4 linked regions of the Lytechinus pictus genome follow. The protein of the gene in region 3 purifies or fractionates together with the protein of the main gene of each other region. This does not show direct contact. Links are inferred from orthologs where the notes say so. Each region holds a gene or a part of one and is shown on either strand. Other genes may lie near its edges. The genes, in order: peroxiredoxin-1-like; superoxide dismutase [Cu-Zn]-like; peroxiredoxin-5, mitochondrial-like; Parkinson disease protein 7 homolog.

Region 1 (7,085 bases), on a different chromosome or scaffold from region 3:
CTTGCCCTATGGCTCCATCTTGGTTCTGGTTTTCCCACATTGGGGAGATGGCAGAGTTTTGAGGGCTGTCTTTTTTTAATTTTAGGTAAGGTAACAACTAGAATTGGTTGTAGTTACCTCTGTAATAATCTGACAATTTGATGTCATTTAATTCACCATCAGAGCTGCCCTGCTTTTTTGTGCAAAATGAAAAGGGCACAACTCGATTAACTTTGGCAAATCGAATACCCAAATAACATTGCAGTAACTTCAAAACATGAATTGATATTGCGCAAAAAAAGGCTCTGACTCAAGAACTGGAATTAGTTGTTAATTACCTTTGTAATCTGATAATTTGATTTGGACAAAGTCACTATCCGGGCCTGCGCTGACTGCTGTACCCTCAAAGTAAGGAGCTGGTTCTTGTACACGTGCCTTACCTGCCATCTTTGATTTATATTACAGCTTCTTTCCTGTGAATGAGATTGAAAAAAAAGATTGAGATAGTCACTGTGTAAAGCCAATGAAACACAACAAAGTCAAGACATCGGGGTAAAATTTCGTTTAAGGGGCTATTTTTGTCATTTTGGGGATATTGCTAATTTTTTTTTTTTTGGGGGGGGGAATTTTTTCATTTGAAGGGCTATTTATTTATTTGCAACAAGAAATAATAATCTGCCAATATTATCATCCTCCCATACATGTATGTAAATTGTAGAATATTGACTTTCTAAATATTCTTGAATATTGCTTGATATGATTGTGGCAGATTTTTGGCGATGTCGTGAGATGCTGTGGACAAAAACTAAAGCAGGGAAAACTACCCTGCCACCTTGCCCACTTTGAAAATCTAAGTCTATCATTTATAAAGCTGCGACAAAGTACACCAAGTTTTTTTTTTTTAAGGTGAAATTCAGTAAGAATAATGGACAATTTGTACATGATGGCCAGTGTTTCCACAGATCCAAAATAAATTTCCCAAAATTCATAGACATTTCCTGGAATTTTTAAGTATGATTTCTAAAAAAAATTGGGCAATAATACAGCCAGCCTAAAGTTGGTCCATGTGACCCAAATCAAGGAATATAGCACATTTTTGTTCACGCCCTCTTTAAAAATAGGACCAAAATTACAATGGATGCTCCGCACGAAAACTTTTGAGCTAAGTATTGAGGTAAACAATTCTTTAAATATAACATGAATTTTAAAAGTTGCTACATTTAATTGTTGTTTAATTGTAATTTTCAGATTTCCCAGAATTTCCTGGAATTTTTTCATTTTCCAAACCTTTCCTGGAAAAAGTAAAAATTTCCCAAAATTTCGGGAAGAGTGGAAACACTGATGGCTATGGTATCGGGCCTATGGCTATGTATTTGGCATTTGGGAAGGGGCAAGATCTGAAAATGCATTACTCAACAGCAATGGCAATGGACAAGCACAAACAGTACATGTGATCCCCCCCCCCCCCCCAACTCTCCAAAAAAAAAAAATAATAAGCAAAATAAAAAACTACTTGTAAAAAAAACAACAAAAAAAGAGTTTTCTTTCCACAGACCACAGGTTTGGACCACGCGTCACAGATGCCAATTGCCTTTGTCTGCTTGTCTTAACGGTCTAGCGAGTTAAGTGAGAGTCTGGGGTACTGGTCTGTGGTGGTATTCAGAGATCAATTTTATCTCAGATAAAATAAAATATTTCATCTCCTTTAAAATCACTGAGATAAAATACATGTACCCTTAGAATATCTCTGAATTGGTCTGACAACCATTTCATCTTTATTTTACGTCTGTAAGACACACGGTCTATTTTTGAAGCAACATCCAATGAGATTGAAAAATACTGTTTTATACATCATACATGTAGCTCTCTCAGCTCATTCAACCAATAAAAATCCATTCCGCTAGGTGTGGCAAAGGAGCAAAATTGCATCAATGTATTGTATTTATTGAATTAAAAATGCACTTGCACTATACGCTTGCACATTTTTAGAGATTTCTTTTTTACAAATTTTTAGAAATTACAATATTCAGTGTTTTTTTCTTTGTCAATATCACGTCATTACAGCATCATTTCAGAAAAGTCACATGAAGAAATATTTACTTATTCTTCAGGAATAATGTTAAGGTATTATTCTCAGACTCAATGATAATGTTATTTTTCTTCATTATCATTTCATTTTAACATTTGGAGCTAATTCACCAAGAGCATCGCGGAGATAATAACCTCCACGGGTTACTTTATCTTTCTTTCAAGTTTCAGTTTCAATGTAACAACATGGGCCTGGGCCAAAGCATATCATCCGCATTGTAATGGTAAGATACACAATTCCTACACAGACACTGCTCTAATTAAAAAGGTCGCATATCAGATATGCAAGGAAAAAAATCATAAAATTCAAATTTGAGAAAAATGTCACTAAAATTACCAATTCACTGAATCATCAATCAATTTCTTTTTAAAATATAAAATATTTTTTAGAAGATAATATGATCTCAGAATACTACCCCTGGAAAAAAATCACATTCACAATGATTAAAATGCATAGGAACCCCATGAAATCTCCTATGCATCACACAAAAGAACATGAATTGGAACCAACAAAGAAAAATAATGCCCGATTGCACTTGAAACACGACAACCCGGCATTCACCCACGTGCAACACACATCTTATGCAAGCAAAAATTGAAATGACAGTCAACTTTTCGTTCACCCTCTCACAAATTTCGCGTTTTTTAATCAAAAGCCCAAGTCACCATCCATTCCTCATTTTTTTCTTCTAGAAGATTGAATTTTACCAACCGTTTAAACATAAGAAAGTAGAATACTCACGGTTTCAAAAGAAGAAATTTAAGACTGTTTCTACTCTCTTCGGCTCTGCCGCAGTGCTCGAATGAAGTCGAAGTGAATACTCGTGCTAAATATATACGCGGCGGGCAGCTAGCTGGCCTGGGCGAACGGCGCGTTGGGTGATATGGAAAGCTACGCGGGCGCTGGAGCGGGATGCCGAGCGCTTGGCCCAGCAATGCATGCACATTATTATGCCAGAGCGAGCACGTCCACAAAATTGCAGTATACCAGTAGATGGCGCTAGACTTCTCTCATTCATTGTTCAATAAAAGTTGATTGATTGACAAAATACAATAATGACAAATGAATATCAAGAAAGAAACCTTGAACAGAATTTAAGTTATTTCTATTAAACAATTATTTCAAAAAATAAATATACGAAAGTTTATTCAATGGGTTCGATTGATTGATTGATTCATTGTTGATGTTTTTTGTAGAAGTACATAGAGCGCATTTGGAAAGCAGATTTTTCTTATAATAAACATACGACTATAGTATGAAATGAATGAAAATTAATTAATATAAATAGACTGATGTATTTTATTTGTGAAGCCACAAATAACAATAGCGAAAGATTAGAAACCTCAAATACGTTTTAACGAATCCCTTAAAAATTATTTTCAATTCGGTTGATTGACTGCTTGATAAAGACGAAGCATAATTATAGAAGATGAAGATAATGAAAAAGAAGAAGAATTAGTAGCAGAAACACATAGAGAAGAAGAAGAAGAAGAAGAAAAAGGAAAAGGAAAAAGAGCAGGAGAAGAGAAGAAGAATGAGACGAAGAAATAAAATTGAATGAATAAATATCGGAAAAAAAATAGTTAAATAAAATGAATGAATAAATAAATACATAAATAAATGAATAAATAAATAAATAAATAAATAAATGAATAAATAAATAAATAATTGATTAATTAATTAATAACTCAAGAAGTACATTTAAAAAATAGGGAAGCGCTTAATAAATTAAAAAATATTTCACCAAATATTTAAAATTTCAGCAATAAAAATGCAAAAAATCCCTTTTGGTGAGCACGGTTGCTTTGCTCATTTGTTTTTTTTTAATGGCTTGACACAATATTTATTAAATGTCAGTCATCTGCATGGGAGACCACCTTTCCAGGGTTTATAGACCTACCCCTGGCTATAATGTCCCCTTGATCGTTTAGCCCGAGTGTTCACAACTTTCTCTTACCTGCTTGTCTGACTTCTCCTTTTCTCTACCGGTCATTTTCAAAGAAAATGAAAGTTGTTTCAAAGTAATTCATGATGATCACAGTGACTTGGTAGCAAGCAGGGCAGGATAACTTGATGGGCTTCATGTAGGGTCAATCCCCCGGACTCCCCGGACGGTATACTCGGATTTGTTTCGGACGCGAACGGTGCTGTATACTGAAGCCGTAAAACCAAACATAATTATGATTTAGGGCTTTTGGTTTAGTGATAGATTGATAGACAGGTTGATTGAGTGTTCGTTATTGATTGATAGATTGATTGATTGACTGACTGTTTGTTCTTTGAAAGTGGATGATAGACTGATTTATATTTGACAAACCTCAAGACATACTGAAAAATAAAAAGAATGACTGGCGTAAATCCAGTCCGAGCTGTGCATGGGGGGGGGGTGAAGCAATATATTGATCTGAAAATTCAAAAATTTTGGGACACCCCAACACCAAGGGCTATGTAGGCATGTATACGGGGGTATGGGACCATGAACATAATACTACCATCGACAGATCAAGAACGATTTTTTTTTAATGGCATATGTAATGATTTACAATTAATATCAATATGCGTGCCATCGAGTAGGCCTAATAGTTGGAGACAAAATATGATGTCCAAAAACATCTTTCAAGTGGTGTGAAATTATCACATCACGGAAAATGTATAAATTATGAAGAGCTCACTTGCAAAAGGGGTTAGGTCAATTTTTCATCAAATCTGATTTTTTGGTCTCAATGTATAGATTTTTAGTAGCTCTATAAGATGATACCAAAGAAAAGTTGAAATTCCTATTTGAAAGTGATCAAAAATGGCAAAGAAAAATCACTTTTTTTTCAAAAGGGGTTAGGTCCATTTTAGTTTAGTTGCAAAAGGGGTTAGGTCAACACCGATTTTTTTTTTGGAAAAGAATATATTAAAAAATATGAATAAAGGTAGATTTCTTTTATACCCAATTTTATGTTGTCATGGTAGGGAATCTTTAAAATTTAGTTTCGCATAAGAATATGCAATATAGGAGAATTAAAAAAAAATATTTTCTTGGAGTGGACCTAGCCCCTTTTGCAAACAAACTCTTCTGAAGAGCTCATTTGTCAAAAGGGGGTAGGTCCATTGTTCATAAATGCTATTGTTTTCTGTCTCAAACCTCTAAATTTTTAGTCGCTTTGATGAAAACAAAGACAATTTGAAATTTACATGAAAACATGAATAAAAGTGGCAAAGAAAAATCACCTTTTTAATCAAAATAGATTGGATTCATTTCAGTTTACTTGCAAAAGGGGTTAGGTCCACAATGATAATTTTTAAAAGAATATATAGAAAAAATTGAAGACAGGTAGATTTCTTTTATACCCAATTTTATGTTCACATGATAGTGAGGGTAGTATCATGACAATTTAGTTTCTCAAAAGAATATTGATTGATTGATTGATTGATTCTTTATTTCCATGCAAAAATAAATCATACAACAGAAAATATATTGACAATATCTCATGGTAAAATAACAATAAACAATCATTGCATGGGAGGGAACAGTCATAAGCACAAGGCTTGAAAAGGACGCCCCTCAAGAAAGACTACGGCCCTGAATAAAATCAATATAAGTCATATTTAAAAATTACAGTAAAAGCAGGGCCAAAAGGAAAACACATCAAGCATGTCAAGAATAAATCAAATGATAATAACACACCAGCCGTGTATCGATTAATATTACTATGTTTAACATAGATACGTCGTATAAAATAATACAAAAAATAAAGTATGCAATAAGATGAAAGTCATGAAACTGATGATAGAACAATATCTTAACTCAAATAAGTGCTAATAATGGAATGCTTAAACTCAAACTTAAATTTGTTCAATGTAGGAGCACCACGTATTGTTAAAGCTATATCATTCCAGGTATCTGGACCAGTATGTCTTATTGACCTATGGGCTAAGGCAGTTAGCGGATTTTATAAATGTAAATTTGTTGAGGTTCTCGTAGGATATTTATGAATAAACGAATTCAAAAGGAACATATGATCAAATGTTAATGGTAATTGGCGACAGTGAAACTTAAACATAAACAAAGCAATTTGAAATTTATGTATATCATCAATTTTAAAGTCTTGAAACGGTTAAAGAGGGGACCAGTATTTTCATAAAAACCAGCGTCGGCACACAAACGAATAGCTTTCTTTTGAAGTAAAAGGATATGGTGATTTTTTTATTTGAATGAGCCCCATACAATATTGCAATAAGTGATATGTGGAAGTAAAATAGAATTATAAATTGAGAGTAATGCTTGAGGAGGTAAATAGTGTTTAACTTTAAACATTATACCTATACATCTTGATACAGACGTCAATATTTTAGATACATGGTCATCACATGTTAAAAACTCATCTAGAATGACACCTAAAAATCTCACATTATTTTTTTGTCCGATAGAAATCCCACTTATCTTTATTTCTTCTGTATAATGATTAGCTATTGTTTTGGAGTTCTTGAAATCAATATAATATGTTTTTTTGCAAATTTAAAGACAATTTATTACTTTGGAACCATGTGGATATTTTGGGCAATTCATTATTCAACATTTCAAAAAGCATTCTTTTATTCGAGTTTGAAGAAATAACTGTTGTGTCATCAGCATACAGAATATATTGTAATAAGGGTGAAGAATATACTATGTCATTTATATACAGAAGAAATAAAAGCGGGCCCAGAATTGAGCCTTGAGGCACACCACAATTAATATACTGTGAATTAGAACTTACTGAATTTATACATGTAAATTGTTGCCTATTTGAAATATAACTATTAAACCAATTAAGAGTAGTACTTCTAACACCAAAATATTTTAATTTGTAAAGCAATATAGTATGATCCAGGGTATCGAACGCTTTACTTAAGTCCATGAAAACACAAATTACATGTTCCTTTTTTGCTAAAAGAGAAGAAATTTTATCATAAAGATCAACAAGAGCTAGATCAGCAGAATGAAATTTGCGAAAACCATATTGGGATGGATTTAATAAATTATGTA
Region 2 (7,072 bases), on a different chromosome or scaffold from region 3:
TTTCGCTTAATTTCACAGAACAGTTATATGCACATCCTGGCTGGTATGCAAATGAGGAGACTATGAGGTCATCCACTCACTATTTCTTTTGTATTTTATTATGTGAAATATGAAATATTCAAATTTTCTCATTGTCAAGTGATAAAACAATTAATTCCTCCCTGAACATGTGGAATTAGCATGTGGTTCAGTCAAGTTGGTCCTTATTGTCAAATATCTAAAAAATGAAATATTGTATAATTCAAACAAAAAACAAAACAAATAGTGAGTGATGGACATCATCGACTGAGTGACCTACTTATGCTTATCACTGTTTTGTGAGAAATAGTGAAACTTTAAAATGTCATAACTTTCTTATTTTACATCCGATTTTGATGAAATTTTCAGCACTATGCTAGTTTGATTTTCTCTATGCAAGAAAGCATTTTCCTGGGGTGGACTTGACCTTTAACATTTGGTCATATTGCCATTTAACCCATTTACTAGTTTGCCTAATTTCTAGTTAGGTCCTACCCAAATATTGATTTGGTTCAAAACCTCTTAGTCTATGGCCCGTATTCTGAAGTCAGGTTTAATTTAGACCATGGTCTAACTCTGCTAAAATTATGGGAAGCCAAACGTGTCAAAATTCTTATTAAGTTGTATGTTTCTTATGTTCACTGTACAATCATCTATGTATACTTTCTAGACAATTATGAATGATTTGAGAGCCAAATGAACTGAAATATGATATCTCTAATGTTAGTGATTTATGTAAAAATTGGCTATCCATACTTCAACCAAATGAGTGCCTATAAATACCCTTAGGAAGCAAGATTAAATTTAGATAAATCAAATACAGTAACCCTGCATGAGAAAAATTTCATAATATATGAATAATTTTCTGGCTGTTGGTGCAAGATGAAAGGCATGGAATTTTCGTAACATTGTTACATAAAGGAAATATTGGACCAATTTCATTAAGAGTTGCGACTATGATGGTAACTTTGCCATTATCATGGAAACTACCATGGTTGTGATTGGCTGCTGAGCCCTGTTACCATGGTAGTTGCCAAAATGACAAAGTTCTTTGGAGTTGTAACTTGTGAAATTGGACCCAGATGTACGCCACACACAAGATTGGGATGGTATACAGTGGAAAGTAACGGTGGGAATAAATGAACGTATATGTAGAACTAAAATACAATTGTGCAGTAGAGGAAGGGGGAAGGGAGAGCGACTGAAAGAAAGGGGAGAAGAGGGGGAATATTGGAGGAGGGGAAGGGAAAAGGTGAGGGAGGGAGGGAGAGAGAGGATGATACAGAGGGGGGGGGGGGTGAGGGAGAGAGAGGATGAGACAGAGGGGGGGGGGGTGAGGGAGAGAGAGGATGAGACAGAGGGGGGGGGTGAGGGAGAGAGAGGATGAGACAGAGGGGGGGGGGTGAGGGAGAGAGAGGATGAGACAGAGGGGGGGTGGATATAGCGACAGGGCAGCCTGAGAGATATAGGGGAGAGGCAATTAAGGTGAATGAGTGAGGGGATTAAGATGGGGGGGGGTACTGGAAGAGCGCCTGTTCTGAGGGAGAAAGGTTGGGGGGGCTAGAGATCTCAAGAAAATTGTAGGGAAAAAAAGAGGCATCTTCTTGTTGCTAACATGGGGTATAGAAATGTTGCATTATATACTTTTCAAAGCCAAGTTTTACACATCTCATTTGAAGCAGATTGGTGTCCTCATCAATATAACACCAATGTAATGAAAATGGGACTGCATTTCCGAACGGAGGATGACTCTTCATTTTTAGGCCACGCCTCGATTTTAAAAAAAATATATATTTTTTTTTTTTTTGTCCCGTGCATTATATCATAAAATGCACTATATAGCTGTCATATATAAGCCTGGCCGGGGCCTATACTCACCCAATTTTCTATATGGTAGGCCTACATGTCTTTGATCGAGCACGCAACGTTATTCTGCTAATGAGATATGCAAAACTTGATTCTGAAATCCCTCTATATCGGGCTCTATATAGAAGCCTATACCTTCAATTGCAAAATACTTAAGCATATACATCTACCCCCGGACTCTGAAGTTGCAGGAATCATTCTCGGGCCGAGCTCGCCGAGAGCTCATTGGAGGTACTTACACAGATTACTTTACTGACCATAGCCAAATGGGCAGCAAATTATGCCTACGTGCATGTCATTCTGGTAAATTTCTCAATTAAAGGGATGGTCCGGGCTGAAAGTATTTATAGCTTAAAGGGGAATCCAACCCAAATAAAAACTTGTTTTTATAAGGAAAAGAAATATCAGACAAGTTGATAGGTGAAAGTTTGAACAATATTGGACAAACAACAAGAAAGTTATGAATTTTTAAAAGTTGTAAATATTGGTAATCACTATACCCACGGAGACTTCAAATTGGCCGCATATGGGATGTCATAGTGATGTAAGGCAAGGACTACTCTTCCATGTACTCCAATACATATTATGGCTAAAATGTCATTTTTCCCAAAAGTTTTATTTCAAATTATATTTTTCTTTCATGAGGACATAAAACAATATACTACCTGGGTTATATTTAGATTACTGCCACAGGGGAATGGGTACTTAGGAGAAAACCACAAATCCTTGATAATAAAGTACATGGCCTATGGGAAAGTTGTCCTTGCCCCTTGTCATAATTTACTTACCCAGTTGCCAATTTGAAATCTACATAGTACTAGTGATCTCAATTTTAAAGCAGCTATAACATTCTTATTGCTTGTCCGATTTCTTTTAGACTTTCTCCATTCTGTTTAATTTATTTTTCTCCTTCCCAACACAACATTTTATGGCCAAGGCTGGATTCCCCTTTAATAAATAGAGTAGAATTCACTGAGCTAAATGCCGAAAATTTCATCAATTTCGGATAACAAATAAAGTTATTGAATTTTAAATTTTAGCAATATTTTGTGAAAACAGTCGTCATGAATATTCATTAGGGTACCGGTAGGAAGTAATTCCTTAAAAAGCTGTGTGCGCTATGAACGCCTAGCTTAGCCGGGTAATATAGGAGCGCCTTGAGCACCTAACAAGGTGGATATGTGCGCAATTTAAATACCCTATATTATTATGTGGGCTGATGATGTCACATCCCCACTTGTTCTTTTGTATTTATTATATGAAATTAGGTTTATTCAAATTTTTACCTCGAAGAACTAGAAAAATTGGATTTACAACTGATTTAGTGCATAAGATATTTATTGCTGCATCTTATTTCATTATAAGGGAGACATATTATTCACACAAGTATGAAATAATGAAAAAATTATGATTGTATGTGATAACATAGAAAACGGAAAGGGGAGATGTGACATCATCAGTCCCCCACATTCATGACGACTGTTTTCACAAAATATTGCTAAACTTTAAACTTCAATAACTTTATCATTTGTTATACCGAGGTTGTTTTACCTGACTGCTAAGAAAGCATGAATGCCTTTGAGCAAGCAACCAGGGGACCAACGGCTTAAGGTCCTCTCCGAGGGACCTGGTAATGAGGATAAATGCCTTACCAAAGGGCACTAGCGCACCACTTGGGAATCGAACCCTGGTCACCGGACCGAAACCCCGCTCTACCGACTGAGCTATCGCGCCTCCCCTTTATCCGATTTTGATGAAATTTTCGGCATTTTGCTCAGTGAATTCTACTCATTTTCAGCCCGGACGATCCCTTTCCCAACTCCTAATAAAGCAAGCAATTACCAAGCAAACCCAACATAAACTCTTTAATTTACGAATCTCATTTCTTTTCCCTCATCATCTCCCCCTCCCCCTTTTTTGGCTTGTCCTGGAAATTTTGGGGCCCTAATCGATCCCAATTACTAGGCCTACTCGACTTGATATTGACTTCCCACTCCCCCCCCCCCCCCCCGTGGTCGCTGTTGGAATTTTGGGGCCCACCTCCCCCCCCCCCCCCGTTTTTACGCCAGTATTCTAATAATTGAATCCAATTAAAGAATTAGAAAATGAAAACAAAAATAAATGTGAAGTCTCAATGTTACCCTCACCCCCCCCCCCCCCCCCTCTAATTCGGTAGCCGCGCTGCTGCGTATACGTCGCAATAGTCAGCAGCAGGCTCGTTGGTGTATGCCCAATTTTCGCCAATAAATTCTATAGGCACATTCACTGTACTTTTCACAATACGTGTTCTTTTGATACCAGGATCGCAGTCCATATTTAAAAAAGAAGAATTTTTCAAACCCGCTTCAACAGCTAGAGGTTACTATAAATGTTTTGCACACGCCACGCAAAAATAAAGCACAACGAGGTAAAGCCCGGAGCTAGGCCAGTGCTGGCCGGCCTAGCGTAGCTCCTGAGATTCCTACCCAGCTCGGCCCCGGTACACGTGTTTGTACGGCCGTAAACAACTAGTCAAGTGCATCTAGTACCGTGTGCAAAGACCAGACAAAAACTGACTGAGCCTGCTGGACAATCTCGCCAAGTTCTTCGTTTTAAACCGTAAATTAAAAGAAGAATCATGTCTGTACTTGCAGTTTGCACTCTTGCCGGACCTGGAGAAGTAAAGGGGGTCATCAACTTTGAGGCTAAAGAGGTATCTATCGGTCTGTAGTCTCTTAATTTTTGAGGAAAAGAAAACTGATGTCTTGATGATGACTGAGTCAATGACTGGCATGAAAATGACTGGCATTTTGTAATCATGCATGCATTCCATGGCCATGCCCATGGCAGCCACTCAACTTGTGATAGATAGGCCTCACGTTAAATGAAAAATAAATAATCCAAACTGTGCAAATAATGTTGAATGTCGACTCCCATGATGACTTATGACTGTGACTATGATGAGTATGATTATGATATGACTTTATGAGGCATGAAGAAGGCCAGGCATCACCTGGTTGGGGGAGGGGGGGGGGGCATTCATGATTTACTATGATAGTTGATGCAAGTTCTGAGCTTTTCTGTCTGAGAAATGGTGGTAAAACACGTGGTCATTCCTTAAAGCTAGAGAAAAGATATTCACGTCTTGACGTGCGTAAATTTTTTCTTTGCTAACCGAGTGATAGATGTGTGGAACAGTCTCCCAGAAGATGTAGGTACCGGTTCTGCTTGTTCAGTGATTGCATTTAAGAATAGACTGGATACCGATAGGCATTGGGAGAAGATTGCCTATGATTTTGAGTGATTTTCGATTCTCGTGTGTTCTCATGGAATTGTTTTGCTGTCTACGATACCCCTGCCACCCCTCCCTGCCAACATAAGTAGCACACCTAATTTTGTCTGAAGGAGAGCCGCAATAGACTTTCTACTTTGATCGATGAACAGGCTTAGTCCTACAAGTACAACATCGTTGGAGTAAACTAAACGAACAAATTGTATTTTGATTGATTGGGTGTGATGTGTGTCACATTAACCCTAGCTGCAGCTGACTTTCAAAGTCTTCAGTTTTCAGCATTTCATTTCAAGCCCATTTTCACTGAACTATTCCGGGGGGCACTCGAACACAAAAGTGGTAGGTAGACTGCATGTAGACCCACTCATTCAATGTCAATGAACAAGGTTATGATATAACCTAAAGTTATAGACTCTATATGAAATATTGTGTAATTCAAACAATAAAAATCAAAAGAAATAGTGAGTGAGGGACATCATTTACTCTCTTATTTACATGTCACTGAGTTGCGCATATAATAACTTTTGTGAAAAGTAAGCAAAACTTTAATATGTCGTCCATGTAGGTCTTATTTTACATCAAATTTTGATGAAATTTTCATTGGTGTACTTGTTTGAATTTTCTCTATTTATTCAAATCAACAGTTTTCTGGGTTGGACTTATTAAAGTAGATCTAGCATCTATCGGGCTACAGTATCTGCAATGCACCATGCAATCAATGACTTGTGCTGGATCTGGGTATCAGAACGCAAAGGCATGTGATACATATTTGAAACAACATTTCCCAAGGGTCATTAATTAATGCTTTAAAGGAAATGCAAGCGTCAAGCAAATGCCAGCAGGCAGTGAGCAATTGCTTGAGCTTACTAGTAAAAACCTTTTGCTTGCAAGCAATTGCTCATTTTTTATGCATACACAAGTAAAAACCAAGCAAAAGCAATTGCTAGTTTTTATGCATCCAAGCCATTATGATTCTAAAAGAAAAAATTTAAGGAAAATCAGCTTTGACTGAATTTGACTAAACCTTAACCTGTTTATGCACAGGCACCATTAAAGTCAGTTGTAGTAGAATCTAAAAAGGGAAAAATTGAGTTTGAACAAATCCAACAGATAAATAAACAATTGAATGATTATCTTAGATTCACTACAGTGATTATCTCTATTCAACTTGTACCTTGGTTTCAAAGGATAATATAAAGCCTTGTTAATTGTTCAGTTATGTGAATTATACTTCAGTAAATATGCCAGTCTCACCGAAGTGTACATGTACAGTATATATAGCCACTGAATCCTTTTTCAAACGCCGATTCTCTGAAAATTTCAATTATTCAAATCTTAGATACCTTCATTTTATTAGATATTAGGGATTTTTGTGTTCCTCTTCAAAAAGGGTACTTGGAAACACTCGTCTTAAACCTTAGTACTTCGATATCAGAAAGCCACATAAAAAAGATAATGTTCTGAAAATTTCAGCCAATTCCATGCTTTGGATTTGGAATATATTTTGTATTAACCAAAAAAAAAAGGAAAAAAAGCATTTGATCAGGCACCCGATCATGATAAATTTGTATACAGTGTACATGTAAATGAGCAAAATTTAGCTTGGAAAACACATTGTCATTTCATATTATCCTCCACTTCGTAATACATGTAGTTTTAGGGCATACACATATCCATGTAGTAGTAATGACTTCGAATAGTAATACATGTGGATACATTTGGGGGAATTTTACCAACTTTAATAGGTAAAGGCAGACTTTGATGTTGGGGGGAAAAATATGCAGGTACCAGGCATGTATACTACCTTTTTTATCCCCCACCAGTACTGTACCAGTAGTTATGTGTGTACTTCCTTTATCTTTTTATCTATTAAAAAGGAGGGGGAGGGGACCATCAGTAGTACCGGTACCTGCCGAT
Region 3 (7,983 bases):
TAGAATTACCTTGCCTTCAGCTTTATGTGCTTCCCCCCATGCAGCCATTACAAAGGGGTCATTGACGGACACACAGGCGATGACTTCTGCACCTTTAGCTTTGAGTTTATCAAAGTCACCAACGTAGCCTGGCAGATGAGTCTGTGAAAAAAATTACAAGTAGAATATGACATTGCTCAGAATTAGTCCCATAGCTGATGCAGTATCATAGTGTTCAGTTTTCATAAAAACACCTATTTATTTACTATTATTTATATACTAGTATTTTTCATATATTTAAAGGGTACCATAGTGTCACTGATGCAATATTGATTTTATAATAATGGCACTAGGAAGCATTAAAAGACACAGGCAGGCATATACAGTTTCAACAATTTGTGGCAGTGCGTTGAGATGAAAAAAAAACCACCACCCTACCAGTATATCTTAATCTTTTGAAAAATCATGGTACAATTTTATTAGTTTCATACATCCACTCATCAAAGGATTATTTTTATAAGAAGTGAACTGTGAATGTGATAGCCAAAGGCATAAACTGTATGATTTGAAATTAACCACAGAATTGAAAACTCATATCTTCTTTAAATATGGCTTTTTTCTTTTATTTATTCAACGTAAATACACATGTAATTTCTTTTCAATGTGAACTCTTCTCTCACAATAGCGAGTGTAAAGCCAGGATATATACTTCTAGTACAGAGTAAACTCTTATAATTCACAGAAAGATATTATGCTGCTATTATTATGCTACGTCTCCTCCCCTCCGCCCATTTTTATGCTTGTGAAATGGTTCTACAAAGATACTGAGCATTATCCAAGACTCACCCCCCCCCCAGTTCAAATTTCATGGTAATTTACAAATTCCACATTACTTTCTTTGAGAGAAAACCATTCTTTGTATATCATTAGCGAGTATCTAGAGTCAGTGAGTAGAGTTATAGAAATTGGCAAATTTCTAAACCCTAACCTAAAACTGACCGATTTCTATGAGAGATTGCATTGATATCAGCCTTAGGCCTACCTATAATGGTGGTCCCCAAGTCTGTGCACCTAACGATTTAACATGAACTTCTTTTTATTTCACAAATTCTTTCCGTTAATAATGTTCCCTATATTACCATGAGTAAGTGTAACAAATATCTCATTAAAATTTGAAAGAAATATAGGATTTTCTTAGAAAAAACCTTGGGCAGTCATTTTCAGATTGAAAAAAAAATGGTACCCCATGTCTGCGCACCCATTCACTTTGCCCACGATTCAGGCGTTTTGATGAGAAAGGCAGCATTTTGAGGCCGTCACACGAAATGCCCCAAATTCATTATTTTTCCAACATTTTGAGTCGGATTTTTTAATGAATATCGTCTATGTGGTGCATGTGTAAATTTTGTGTTCGTTGTGATCTTCTTTTACTAGAATCGTGCAGATACGCATGTGCGCAGACAAGGGGGACTGCACAGACTTGCACAGACAAGCCATACAATCACTAAGCTTCATGTAATAGGACCCCAACGGACATTGGTTCAGCAACCCTTTTTCTCACCTTTGAACATCCTGGAGTGAACGCTCCCGGAACGGCAAACAACACTCCAGTCTTTCCCTTGAAAAGTTCTTCTACATTCACTTTATCACCTGGTGTGTTCTCACACACTTCTACACTAGGCACAGCATCACCAACCTAATAAAAATGATGAATAAATATTATTCAAGCAACATATAACAGTTAATAGTATGTTCATGATATGTTTCCGGATAACTTGCACAGTATAAATAAAGAATAAGGAAGAGAAACACAAGAGAGATATATAGGTCTAACCAAAAAACATGTGAAATTAAGACAAACCAAGACAATTTACATGGAGATCTAAATTGAAATAGTACGGTAATCGTCAACTTGACTCGGCTTTATCTCTCACTCTCAGACTCGGTCTTATTCTTAATAATCTTCCCACATTGAAATTTTACACTGAACTACGTTGTAAGCAACAAAGCATGGACATTTTCAGATATTTCTTTTCTTTATCAAGGGAAAATTATGGACAGTTTACCCCACCAAGAGCACCCAATGTTCAATTGATTATTGCCTTTTGGCCAGGGGAGCATTTCATGAAAGGACTTGTCGCCGTTGTCGGACGGTTTATACCGAGGTTTTTTACCTGACTGCTAGGAAAGCACGGAGGCCTATGAGCAAGCAACCAGGGGACCAACGGCTTAAAGTCCTCTCCGAGGGACCTGGTAATGAGGATAAATGCCTTACCAAGGGCAAGGGGCACTAGCGCACCACTTGGGAAGTGGGAATCGAACCCTCCGACAGTTACCATAATAACAGTCCTTCTAAGTCAAAGAGTAGGGTGTTCACCCGGTGTATTGCACCTGCCGGCCCCCGGTACTACAATACTGCAAGAATCTTCAGGATTGAAGGAGGCAGTCAGTGTAGGATGAAGAAGACGATGAAGAAGAAGCAAATCAGATTCAAAAAAAGATGTCAGATCTGACAATTTGTCGGACAAAAATGTTGATGAAACGGCAGAAACGCTCCCCAGGTCTAACACTCGAGTCTAAATTCTAGGGAGTAGGGTCTTGACTTGGAATTGAGCTTCGCCGTCGACGGCCGACGGGCATGACGGGTGACTAAAATAATCCCGACTAAAATCATGATAATAATATGATAAATGAGTACGAATATGTTCTGATATCTGTTCGTATGGTGTAGCACACCTTTCTTTAATAATCTAGTTAGTATTTACCTTGATTGGCATCTTTCTTGGTGAACCAGATGAAAAACTCCGTAAGCAATTGAAAAGGACGGCTCTTCGGAGGCTAAACATTCTCGCGCAATACCTTATGCCGTTATGCCCTGCGCGGCATGCATACAGTTCGATAGCCTAGCGGCCAGCCCCGCTCTTCGCGGCGCGGCCGAATGTCGAGCTGAGCTCCGGATAACGGCGTACGTGCAGGCAAGGGCTTGCCATGTGAACCTCCTCGCCTATATGGATGCCTCCATAATTCTCAGGCCCAGGCAGGCTACAGACTTCAGGGGAATAATACCATTTCCCCGGACCATTTTGCACCCACATTTTCATATTGACATGTGCTGCTTGATTGAATTCATAATTTTGATGATATTTACATCTTTTCTTCAATATTCAAACAATTGAAAATGTTCTGTTTTTAATTAAGTGATTATGAATTGCTGTATTAAAGGGTTCATCAAATTATTTAGTGGGCGCGTATCAGCTGTTATGTAATCTCGGGGAATTCCCTATTTTCAGGGCACCGCCCACTAGCACTTTCCCACTTTGATGATGAACTGAACGCAAATCCAAGGGTTGATTTTTGTATGTTTCTTTGAAGGGGTGGTCCTAATAGTCATGTCTAAGCTTTTTTCTTATAAATAAACATAAATATATAATAATCTCATAAGCCTTATTTATATATAGTGCGAGAGCGAAGCACGAGCTTATTTTTATTTCATGACTGTATTTTGTCCTAAAATTTAACATTCTGAGCAATCTTTGGGATCCTAAGAGTTTAAGTGTTCATAAAATGAAGCAATATCAACCAGAGAAGTATCTTTGCTATTAACTTATTATTAAAGGACAAGTCCACCCCTGAAAAACGTTGATTTGAATGAATAGAGAAAAATCAAACAAGCATAACGCTGAAAATTTCATCAAAATCGGATGTAAAATAAGAAAGTTATATATGTACATTTTAAAGTTTCGCTTATTTTTCACAAAACAGTCATATGCACAACTCAGTGACATGCAAATGAGCCAGACGATGATGTCCCTCTCTCACTATTTATTTTGTTCTTTATTGTTTGAATTATACAATATTTCTTTTTTCACAGATTTGACAGTGATCGAGGACCAACTTGACTGAACCATATCGTATAGCAATGCTATAATTCCACGCGTTCAGGGAGGAATTAATCGTTGTTTCACTTGACAATGAGGAGAAAATTAGATTATTTCATATTTCATACAATAAAATACAAAAGAAATAGTGAGTGGATGACGTCATCAGACTTCTCATCTGCATACCAACCAGGATATTGTGCATAGAACTGTTTTGTGAATTAAATGAAGCGAAACTTCGAAATGTCATAACTTTCTTATTTTACATCCGATTTCGCTGAAATTTTCAGTGTAATGCTTGTTTTTTTTTTCTCTTTTTATTCAAATCAACTTTTTATTGGGGTGGACTTGTCCTTTGATAATAAGTTAATAGTAAAGATACTTCTTCGGTTGACATTGCTTCATTTTATGAACACTTTAAACTTTTAAATTACAAACAAAATTCTGTATAGCAAGGAAATCAATACACTTACTGTACTAGAAATGTGTCTTCAGGAGTTAATAGTTTTAAAAAAGCTCAAAAAAACCCAAATTACTCAAGCTAAAAGGGCCATGTACAGTTTAATTATGAAATAAAGAAAATTAAGATTGCCTTTAGATATTCAATTAGATCTTTTTTTACAAATCAGTTGTACCTATTTTAATACGGGTGTGAAATCTGGGGCTTCGAAAATTTGAAGCATATTGAAATTATGCATATGCAATATTCCAAACAAATTTTAAGACTAAGAAAAGGTTCACTGAACTGTATGGCTCTCGGTGAACTGGGCAGATTTGAAATATCGATTATTGCTAAAGAAAGAATGGTTAATTTTTGGTCGAGAACTATATAAGTGAGAAAAAGTTAAATATTCAACTATTTCTGGTAAAATTTTGAAAATACTTCATGATCTTGGCATATATTCCTCTTCTTGGGTAAAATTCTTTCAGTCTACTTTAAATGAACTTGGAATGTCAAATATTTGGACAAATAATAAATCGTTTAGTAATGCTTGGTTGAAATCCACATTAAAATTGAAACTTAGAGATACGTATGTGCAAAATTGGCAAAGCGTTGTGAACGTTAGCTCACAATGTATTAACTATAGAATTTTCAAAAATCAGGTTGGCCTTGAAGCTTACTTAATTCCCTCTCCCTACAGGATAGCACTCACAAAATTCAGATGTGCAAATCACCGTTTGCCAATTGTTACGGGTAGATATTCGGGAATAGAATGGCAAAATCGAACAGCAATCTGTGCACTCTTAATAAACTTGGAGATGAATTTCATTATTTGTTTGAATGTCCGAAATTGAATAACTTGAGGCACAAATATATCAAGCCGTATTTTTAGAATACGTCCCAATACACTAAAAATGAATTAATTATTTAATTCAGGAAACATGAAACAGATCACCAATTTAGCAAAATTCGCATCAGTAATATTAAAGCTTCACTAAGTTTTAGTCATAAAATGAATAATGCATGATCTTGTAAATATTTCATAATTTCATTTCATTTCATTTATTGGTTTTTGCAACATTTTTCATAACAAAATTCTGGACAAGAAAATACATATCTGAAACTTGACATCAAGATAATGAACAATAGTTTTGTACATAAATCCTCAAACATATCTTACATAAATGAAAATCAATAAGTGGTATTTTCTGTTCCACAATAAATAGAATGGTTGCAAGGGTCGTCAAAAAAGCAAAGCTTGAAAACGTAACAACCCTGGAATATAGCCAAATAATTAATATATATTGTCATTAAACGTGCAGGTGCATGAGGGACTGGGGGGGGGGGGGGGAGGGAGATGCTTGGTCCTTAGCATGGAATTTTAGAAAATAACACGTTTGTTGTTTGATTTTAATTTATACATGTTCTAGATAAAAGTCAATGTCTAATTGAAATAATGATAACAATGGTAATGATTTTCTTTCTTTAATTTGTTAGGTATTGGTTTAATTGCATTTCTTTTATAGTTCGTTTAAAGGAATAAAATGATCTTGTCAGCTTAAGTGAATCTGGCAATGTATTCCAAATATCAGGTCCATGATAATGGTTACTTCATCTTTTTATGTTTACTCACATTTTATCTTTTTTTATACGTTTGTTTTTACACTAAACACGTAATCTCTTTTCTTAAATTGTTGCCTGTGGGCCTATATATTGACTGCATGGTATACTCGAATGTAAATATTGTAAATAATGTAAATATGTTGTATTTGATACTGAGAAATTATTTCTTTGTTGTTATCTGACTTTCTTCAATGCCCTTTTAAGGGTGACATGAGAAAAAATTGTCATTGTCATTGTCACCTATAGAATCTGGGCATGATAAATATCTTTTTTATCATGCAAATCACAAAAGCGAGCGCGAAGCTCGCGCTTCTTAAAATATTTGATATTCCGATCTGAAAAGGGCCCGATTTAAGCTCTGTATTTCAAGCACTTTGTAGGAAAATTGTGAGGTGGATATGGATCACAGTTAAAAAAGGAGCTGATTCACTGCATGTTTCATTATTATTACTTTGAGTTCTTACATAGGACCGGGACATCCTAAGAACATTATATCATCAAATGATAATGATAACTATCTACAAATTTCTCTTCCTAGGCGCGAGATGAAACTTGTCGATATTCCATTCTGAAAAAGGGACAAAAAAAATTGATTATCAAATTAATATCTTATCTTATTTATTATTCTAATAAGCCCATGTTGTGATATGTCTCCCGTTTCTTGTTTATAGTGAGTCGCACTCTCTTGACGATCATCCTTTTTTTCATCAGATCATCAGTTAACCCAAACTTTGAAACGCATAATGGGTCAATTTTTCAGCATTGCCAATGGCTATACCAAATTAATTATGAAAAGCAGGGAGGTAACTTTTTTTTTTTTGGGGGGGACGTGCCGGCCACTCAGGCGGCTGTTGCCCCCCCCCCCACCCTTATAATAAAAAAGGGGAAGAAAAAGAAAGAGGGAGAATCAAAGTGGAAAAAAATACTTTTAATTTTTTTTTTTAGAATTCGATAAAACATAATTTGCCTCTTCCCGGCGCACGTATTGAGTTAATGCGATACATAATCCCTATCCAGCATAAGGATTAAATCGCTCTTAAAATATTCACTTTGCAAGTCAACCAGATATACCGGACCAGATATTGCCAGAGCTTTCATTATTTCAGTGACATACACACCTTTTTCATGAGTCAGCCTGACATTACTGGAATTCTGTAGTTGACGATAAACAATAGCCTTAAAAAAATAAATAAGTAAAAAAAAATAGTGATAGATGATTTGTATACCCCCGTATATAGCCCTTTATTTGGGGGTGCAACCGTGAATGTGTCCCAAATTTTGAATTGTTAGTTCTATACTTTTATTGCAATCTCCCCCCCCCCCCCCCTTTGCTAGGACCGGATTTAAGCCACTGTGTATCCATCTATAATTATCTGGGGTATGACATGTTGTTATATCATCACGGGCAAAATTTAAGACCCACTTTATTCTCTAACCATAATAAGGGTCATTGATCAGTCCAAAATGATGGACATCCGAACTGTACAGTTCATTACCGAAAAATTTGACAAAGAAGAAAAAAAAGAAAACGAAGAAGAAGAAAAACTGAAAATAAGGTCATCACTCATAAGTTTGGATCTTATATAGGCTTGTATAATAAAGGCTATATAATTGCCAGTATTTAAGATAAAATAAGAGTTTAATCAATGTGGTAATTTGCATAAATTAGTTATGATCGTTATCTAGCGCTGTTTTGCCTTATTTCAAAATTTATTTGATTTCAAAATTTATTATGCAAAGTCTGGGCTGATTGAAAATCAACCCGGCCAGATCGGTTGCGGATAGTGACCAGCCAAACATTCGTTGATTTGAATTTAACGATTAAAGATTTTAATTTAAATCTTTTTAGATTAAAAAAAATCTTTTTAGATTTAAAAGTTAATCATAAATATTAAATGAATCAAATTTTCGCCGGGCTGCTTCACAGCCGACCTGGATTTAATTTAATCCTTGAAATTCAAAGTGTGTATGAAAGTAAGGGCCTGTTTAAACACTAGTATAAGATCAAGGAAAGACCTATACTTTTTAGAGCTGATTATCCCCACTTTTTTGCTGGAACTC
Region 4 (7,588 bases), on a different chromosome or scaffold from region 3:
AAATTCTACAGCCATTATCAAGATGGCACATCAACCCAAACGTCAGTTAACCAGTCATACCGGAACTCGATCCAGAGGCATTATATAAAATTATCAGCCATAAGTTATAATCGTTCGTAGTTACTGAGATGACATATGATTTTTACACTTTTATCTTGTCAACTCTTGTCTTTATTCCTAAGAAATGTAGAATTAATCCAAATACTTTGAAAATGAAGGAACTGTTTAATTTAAAATGTAAAGATGTTTAAACAGTGGCGTACCGTGGGTCACGGCATTGGGGGGGCACCAGCAAAAATTATGAGTCACTTATAGAACGCGCGAAGCGCGCTCAGTTGCTAGGTATACTGACATAATAGGGACATTTAAAGGACAGTGTCATTAAACGGATATGTATCTCACTGATCACATAATGCGAGCGCGAAGCGCGAGCTGAAATTTTTGTATATATCGACCCCAAACGGACATTTTAAGGACTATATTTTAGGAATGCATTAAGAGTATACATATCTCACCATAATCATCTAATGCGAGTACAAAGCGCTTGCTGATATTGTTAGAATAATATACATCTAAACACATGAAGCACTTGTAGTCATTGTAATCATGATTAACATACGCATCTCACTAATCAAATATTGCGAGCGCGAAGCGCGAGCTGAAAATTTAGGAAAGTCAGACCTGAAGAGGGATATTTCAAGGCTTGTTTGTAGGAATTCACGTAGATCATACGTAGTTCACTAACCAAATGATGCGAGCGCGAAGCGCGAGCTGAAATTTTTGTATATATTGACCCAAAAGAGGGATAAGGACTATTTATTTTTTTAAAGGATTCCATTAAGAGTACAGATATCTCACCATAGTCATCTGATGCGAGTGCCAAGCGAATGCTGATTTTGTTAGAATTACATCTAAACACATGAATCACTTTTTGTAGTCATTGTTATCATGATTATCATACGCATCGCAGAAATCAAATATTGCGAGCGCGAAGCGCGAGCTGAAAATTTAGGAAATTCAGACCTGAAGAGGGGCATTCTAAGGCCTGCTTTTAGGAACTCACGAAGACCATGCGTATTTCACTAACCAAATGATGCGAGCGCGAAGCGCAAGCTGAAATTTTTTACATTCAGATCAGAAAAAGGGACATTTTAAGGACTGATTTTAGAAAATTCATGAAGAACAGACATATCTCACCAATCCACGAATGCGAACGTAAGTACGGACAGGAAATGGTTTATATTAAGACCTTAAAATCGGGCAATCACTTTAAGTAGTCATGAAAAAAAAGTATATGTCACTACATAAAACAATAATAATTCGAAGTCTAAGAAAATATATTTGGTGTATATTGACTTGAAAACGGGAGGTTTTAGTACAAGAAGATTATATATATTGTTAAACAGACAATGCGAGCACCAGGAACAATGAAGACTAGGCCCTGTGCAAATTATGTTTCATAAAGTTATAATTTATTTATGTAATATAACATAAGATAATCATAATATAATATAACATTATAATTAACAATAATTTCTTCTTTCCCATTACGTTTCTTTCCCTTTCTCCCTCTTTTTCTCCTTTTCCCCGTTTTTTTTTTTTTTTTTTTTTTTGGCCAGCCGATTGGGGGGGCACGTGCCCCCCATGCCCCCCCGTAGTTACGCCACTGTGTTTAAACTTGCTAGGTTAAAGTGATGTCATAAAAGTTTAGTAGGTAAATTTACAAGTGTAAAGTGTAAGATATGTTCTTACCTCATTATTTCATATTTATTTTTATTCTAATTGTTCTTATATTCTTGTACTTAGACGGTACCTCATTTCATGTGTTGGCTTTAAACTGCCAATTTGTGATTGTTGTAAGTTATATTTCTCCGATATAGCTCGGAAGGGATTGAAAGAAATAAAATTAATTCATTTCATATCATATTATCACAAATTTTAATAGGCTTATCATGTGTCAGTCTTGTTAACGGGTTCCATTCAATTCGTAAGTAAGGAAGGGTATACAAGCCATTAGCACCTTAGAGGTTATTTTTTTATACCGCATGTATTTATGAAATAAATACCTTATATCACAGCTCATTAGATGAATTCCTCATCACACCTTATATGGTATGGGTTCCTTATACCAAACACTGACAGGTGAATTCCTTGTAATGCATCTTATATGATGGATTACTTATAACAAACCCTGTAAGATGAATTCCCTATATCACATCTTATAAGATGAATTCCTATACCACAACTTATAAGATTGGTTACTTGTACCAAACCCTATGAAATTAACTCTTCATACCACACCTTATAAAATGGGTTCCTTATACCAAACACAGATGAATTCCTTATACACTCCTTATAAGATGGGTTCCTTGTACCAAACCCTGTAAGATGAGTTCCTTATACTGCACCTTATATTTTCCTCATATCACATCGTATAAGATATGTTCCTGTACATTACACTTTATGCATTGGATCCATTCAATCAAAGTATACTTTATATGCATATTTTTATTTGTATTAATTATGGAAACAAAAAGAGAAGACTGTGGAATAATAATGCAAGGACAGCATGGATATATACACTCACATTCAAATTCAAATTCAGTTTTATTTCCAACAGAACAACGTTTGATACAAATTATGATTTGATGTTGGATAAATTGTATGATACTGTTTTTCATGATATCTTGATTTGTTATAATGTTATAATTTGTTAATTGGATGTGTATTTAATTTTGTATTGTGAAACATTTTTCAATTCAGCTGTCAAACAGCTGCGCTCATGTTTTAATAAATCTTGAATTGAATCAAATTGAATTTACGTGTCAATATATTTATACTTTAGTGAGATACTGAAACTGATTTCTTTGCTATATGATTAAATCTTCTCAAATCTCTATCATTATGTTCGTATCTTATCTCAATCCGGATCTTGTTGTTAAAAATCAAGTCTACCCCCAAAAAATATCGATTTTAATCATTAAAGAAAAATCAGACTAGCATAACGCTGAAAACTTTTATCAAAATTGGGGTGTAAAATAGAAAAGTTGTGACATTTAAAAGTTTCGCTTATTTTCACAAAACAGTGATATACCCAATTATGGGACATGGAAATAAGACAGTCCATAATGTCCCTCACTCACTATTTCTTTTGCTTTTTATTGTTTGAATTAAGGACCAACTTGACTGAACCATATAGTATTAAACAATGCCAATTCCACATGTTCAGGGAAGAATGAATTGTAGTGGCTTGGCAATGAGGAGAAAATTTGAATATTTCATATAATAAATACAAAAGAAACAGTGAGCGGATGACGTTATCAGTCATCCCATTTGCATACCGACCAGGATCTGTGCATATGACTGTTTTGTGAAATTAAGAGAAACTTTAAAATGTCATAACTTTCTTATTTTAAAGGGGGAGTGAACTGTGTTGGTCTCTCATTGACAGTGTGTTATAAATGCATAGTCTTAAAATATACGTTTTCAAATATCTACAGAGAGTAAATTGATCTATAATTGTATTTGTAGTAGAGAGACTAAAATGTTATGAGAGGAAAAGTAATTGGTTTGCTACTTGGTAACACTCATTGCGGTATAAATGTATATTGAGTAGTTAATTAGCATGTTATCATTCAAGTGGGTCTATATTACTAGACTACACTAGCATTATGGGTCAGGAAACTGGCCAGGTATGAGTAGTTGAGGACTCGAGATTGCGCTATTGGTTCGTATCTGCTTTAAATCCTATTTTGATGAAATTTTAAATGTTATGCTTGTTGAATTTTTCTCTTTCTATTTTTGTTGGGGTGCACTAGTGTATCATTAATATATCACGTTTCTAAAAACAGATTTTAAAAAAGGGTGGTGGTCACAATATAAAGCGATCATGGAAACCGATACAATTTTTTACTGAGATTAGTAAGACAAATACCAAGTGGCATAAAACCAAGAATAAATAGATACATATTACAGAAAAGTGAGGTTTGGGATATGAAGAGGGCCGTTGCAAGATTGATTTCTTGATTTAAAATGAAAGTCAGTCTGGATGTGTTATGTAATTTAATCATTCATACACGTCTGTTAAAAAATTCTCAAAATTATGCACATATTGATAGAAAAGAGGTATTCTTATACAGATTTTGCAATGAAAATAAATGGGTTCAACATAACTAGTAAAAATTGATATCAAGCATTATTGTAAACAAACGATAAACAATCTTCACAACCTAGCTTATGCTGGAGAGTTGATATATATGATATAATCTCAATCCGATTTCCATATGAAATGTACGAAATCATTGATGTATTATAAAAGTTAAAGGAAAATTCTGTATATGGAACTTTGATGAAATTGAAATTTGATGCTGGAAGAAAGGACACATCTCACCGAGAGATATACATTAAACAAAACATAATAATAGCAGGGCCCGCTGGTAGAACAGTTTTCGAAACTGAAGTGGCTTCCCTGGGTAAATATACCTATATTATTATTATTATTATTATATTACGATATTCGTTCCGCTGTCAATATTTCTCACTTGTCCCCTTGTTTTCTCCATCCTCAGCACCCGGCGTTCCATAGAACTATCATAATATCTCGAAAAGATTTTGCATTCATATTGATTAAGAAGAAAAAAAACAGCAAAAAAAGTAATCTTTAGATATTTTGATTCTTCATAAGTTTGCACTAATTGCCTGGATAGTTCAATGAACATATACGGTAAATAAAACCAGATGGCACGTGGCGTTCCATATCACTTTCACACATTTTCTCGAAATCACTTCAAAGTTCACTCCGAAAATCGATCCGAAATCGATATCGTAACTTGGCTTTCATAATGTCTGTGATGCTGATTTTGGCTCCCGGAGCGGAGGAGATGGAAACTGTCATTCCAGTTGATGTTCTGAGACGTGCTGAGGTAAAGAGATGGTTGAAATGCCGTCAACATGAGAATAATATTTTTCACCCATCTGGCCGGGGGTAGCTGAGGAGCTACTGCGGGCCTCTGCCCAGCCCCAGAAGCTCCGCCGGCGAAGGTGGGGGAACTCAAGGGTGTGGATCCGATGAATACTTGCGAGGGAAATAAGTTATTATTATTGATTTGAGTCAGTAATGGAGAATAATATGACTGTTTTTGCCACTGCTTTAATTTGGAGCCTTCTTTGACTTTGAGAGGATGAAAAGCTTCTTTACTTTCATCTAAGCTTGTAACCGATTTTGCAATCGGCAACCGATTCCATTCGATTTCACCACAATCGGCAATCACTTGCCGATCTTCGATCATGCCCCTTGAAGGAAAAAATCGAAAATAAAAAATCGGCGTAGATCTGGTTACAGTGCGTGATTGTTTTTGAGGTGCTAGCTATTTAGAGGTCGCATTATTCAGGGAGAAAGACGCGGTATTATCTATGGCGATGTTTAAGATGATAGATATCTTCTCTTCCGCTTCTCTTCCAACTCATGGTGATAGCGGATGCCGCCGTGAACTTTGAAAGGTCGTATTACCGATGGAGCTCACTGCGTTACTCTCTTACATCGTTTATGATTATATACATTTTATTTTCAACCTCGTGGTGATAGCGGATGCCGCCGTGAACTTCGAAAGGTCGTATTACCGACGGAGCTCACTGCGCTACTCTCTTACCCCCTTTATAATGATATAAATCTTCTCTTCAACCTCGTGGTGATAGCGGACCCCGCCATAAACTTTTAAAGACTGTACTATTGACGGAGCTTATTGCGTTACTCTCTTACATCATTTATGATGATATACATTTTATTTTCAACCTCGTGGTGATAGCGGACCCCGCCGTGAACTTTTAAAGATCGTGCTACTGACGGAGCTCATTGCGTTACTCTCTTACATCGTTTATAATGATATAAATCTTCTCTTCAACCTCGTGGTGATAGCGGACCCCGCCATAAACTTTTAAAGACTGTACTATTGACGGAGCTTATTGCGTTGCTCTCTTACATCGTTTATGATGATATTAATTTTATTTTCAACCTCGTGGTGATAGCGGAAGCCGCCGTGAACTTTGAAAGGTCGTATTACCGACGGAGCTCACTGCGCTACTCTCTAACCCCGTTTATAATGATATAAATCTTCTCTTCAACCTCGTGGTGATAGCGGACCCCGCCATAAACTTTTAAAGACTGTACTATTGACGGAGCTTATTGCGTTACTCTCTTACATCGTTTATGATGATATACATTTTATTTTCAACCTCGTGGTGATAGCGGATGCCGCCGTGAACTTTGAAAGGTCGTACTATTGACGGAGCTCATTGCGTTACTCTCTTACATCGTTTATGATGATTTACATTTTATTTTCAACCTCGTGGTGATAGCGGACCCCGCCGTGAACTTTTAAAGATCGTGCTACTGACGGAGCTTATTGCGTTACTCTCTTACATCGTTTATGATGATATACATTTTATTTTCAACCTCGTGGTGATAGCGGATGCCGCCGTGAACTTTGAAAGGTCGTATTACCGACGGAGCTCACTGCGTTACTCTCTTACATCGTTTATGATGATATACATTTTATTTTCAACCTCGTGGTGATAGCGGACCCCGCCGTGAACTTTTAAAGATCGTGCTACTGACGGAGCTTATTGCGTTACTCTCTTACATCGTTTATGATGATATACATTTTATTTTCAACCTCGTGGTGATAGCGGACCCCGCCGTGAACTTTTAAAGATCGTGCTACTGACGGAGCTTATTGCGTTACTCTCTTACATCGTTTATGATGATATACATTTTATTTTCAACCTCGTGGTGATAGCGGATGCCGCCGTGAACTTTGAAAGGTCGTATTACCGACGGAGCTCACTGCGTTACTCTCTTACATCGTTTATGATGATATACATTTTATTTTCAACCTCGTGGTGATAGCGGACCCCGCCGTGAACTTTTAAAGATCGTGCTACTGACGGAGCTTATTGCGTTACTCTCTTACATCGTTTATGATGATATACATTTTATTTTCAACCTCGTGGTGATAGCGGATGCCGCCGTGAACTTTGAAAGGTCGTATTACCGACGGAGCTCACTGCGTTACTCTCTTACATCGTTTATGATGATATACATTTTATTTTCAACCTCGTGGTGATAGCGGATGCCGCCGTGAACTTTGAAAGGTCGTACTATTGACGGAGCTCATTGCGTTACTCTCTTACATCGTTTATGATGATTTACATTTTATTTTCAACCTCGTGGTGATTGCGGACCCCGCCGTGAACTTTTAAAGATCGTGCTACTGACGGAGCTTATTGCGTTACTCTCTTACATCGTTTATGATGATATACATTTTATTTTCAACCTCGTGGTGATAGCGGATGCCGCCGTGAACTTTGAAAGGTCGTATTACCGACGGAGCTCACTGCGTTACTCTCTTACATCGTTTATGATGATATACATTTTATTTTCAACCTCGTGGTGATAGCGGATGCCGCCGTGAACTTTGAAAGGTCGTATTACCGACGGAGCTCACTGCGCTACTCTCTTACCCCCTTTATAATGATATAAATCTTATCTTCAACCTCGTGGTGATAGCGGACCCCGCCGTGAACTTCAAAT

The links.
Region 1: the proteins of peroxiredoxin-5, mitochondrial-like (region 3) and peroxiredoxin-1-like fractionate together in Homo sapiens (co-fractionation; 3 studies listed by BioGRID). This does not show direct contact. The link is inferred for Lytechinus pictus from reciprocal best matches to the Homo sapiens genes PRDX5 and PRDX1.
Region 2: the proteins of peroxiredoxin-5, mitochondrial-like (region 3) and superoxide dismutase [Cu-Zn]-like fractionate together in Homo sapiens (co-fractionation; 3 studies listed by BioGRID and IntAct, with this or other methods). This does not show direct contact. The link is inferred for Lytechinus pictus from reciprocal best matches to the Homo sapiens genes PRDX5 and SOD1.
Region 4: the proteins of peroxiredoxin-5, mitochondrial-like (region 3) and Parkinson disease protein 7 homolog fractionate together in Homo sapiens (co-fractionation; 3 studies listed by BioGRID). This does not show direct contact. The link is inferred for Lytechinus pictus from reciprocal best matches to the Homo sapiens genes PRDX5 and PARK7.

Annotation. Positions count from the first base shown.
Region 1 is NC_087255.1:28,701,253-28,708,337, forward strand, and holds the start of peroxiredoxin-1-like, read right to left. Parts: upstream 3,021-7,085; 5' UTR 2,810-3,020; intron 453-2,809; 5' UTR 427-452; coding exon 318-426; intron 1-317. UniProt on the Homo sapiens protein: Thiol-specific peroxidase that catalyzes the reduction of hydrogen peroxide and organic hydroperoxides to water and alcohols, respectively.
Region 2 is NC_087248.1:24,272,911-24,279,982, forward strand, and holds the start of superoxide dismutase [Cu-Zn]-like, read left to right. Parts: upstream 1-4,058; 5' UTR 4,059-4,501; coding exon 4,502-4,576; intron 4,577-7,072. UniProt on the Homo sapiens protein: Destroys radicals which are normally produced within the cells and which are toxic to biological systems.
Region 3 is NC_087251.1:47,420,251-47,428,233, reverse strand, and holds the start of peroxiredoxin-5, mitochondrial-like, read right to left. Parts: upstream 3,007-7,983; 5' UTR 2,826-3,006; coding exon 2,745-2,825; intron 1,676-2,744; coding exon 1,541-1,675; intron 142-1,540; coding exon 10-141; intron 1-9. UniProt on the Homo sapiens protein: Thiol-specific peroxidase that catalyzes the reduction of hydrogen peroxide and organic hydroperoxides to water and alcohols, respectively.
Region 4 is NC_087258.1:19,054,186-19,061,773, forward strand, and holds the start of Parkinson disease protein 7 homolog, read left to right. Parts: upstream 1-4,583; 5' UTR 4,584-4,841; coding exon 4,842-4,922; intron 4,923-7,588. UniProt on the Homo sapiens protein: Multifunctional protein with controversial molecular function which plays an important role in cell protection against oxidative stress and cell death acting as oxidative stress sensor and redox-sensitive chaperone and protease.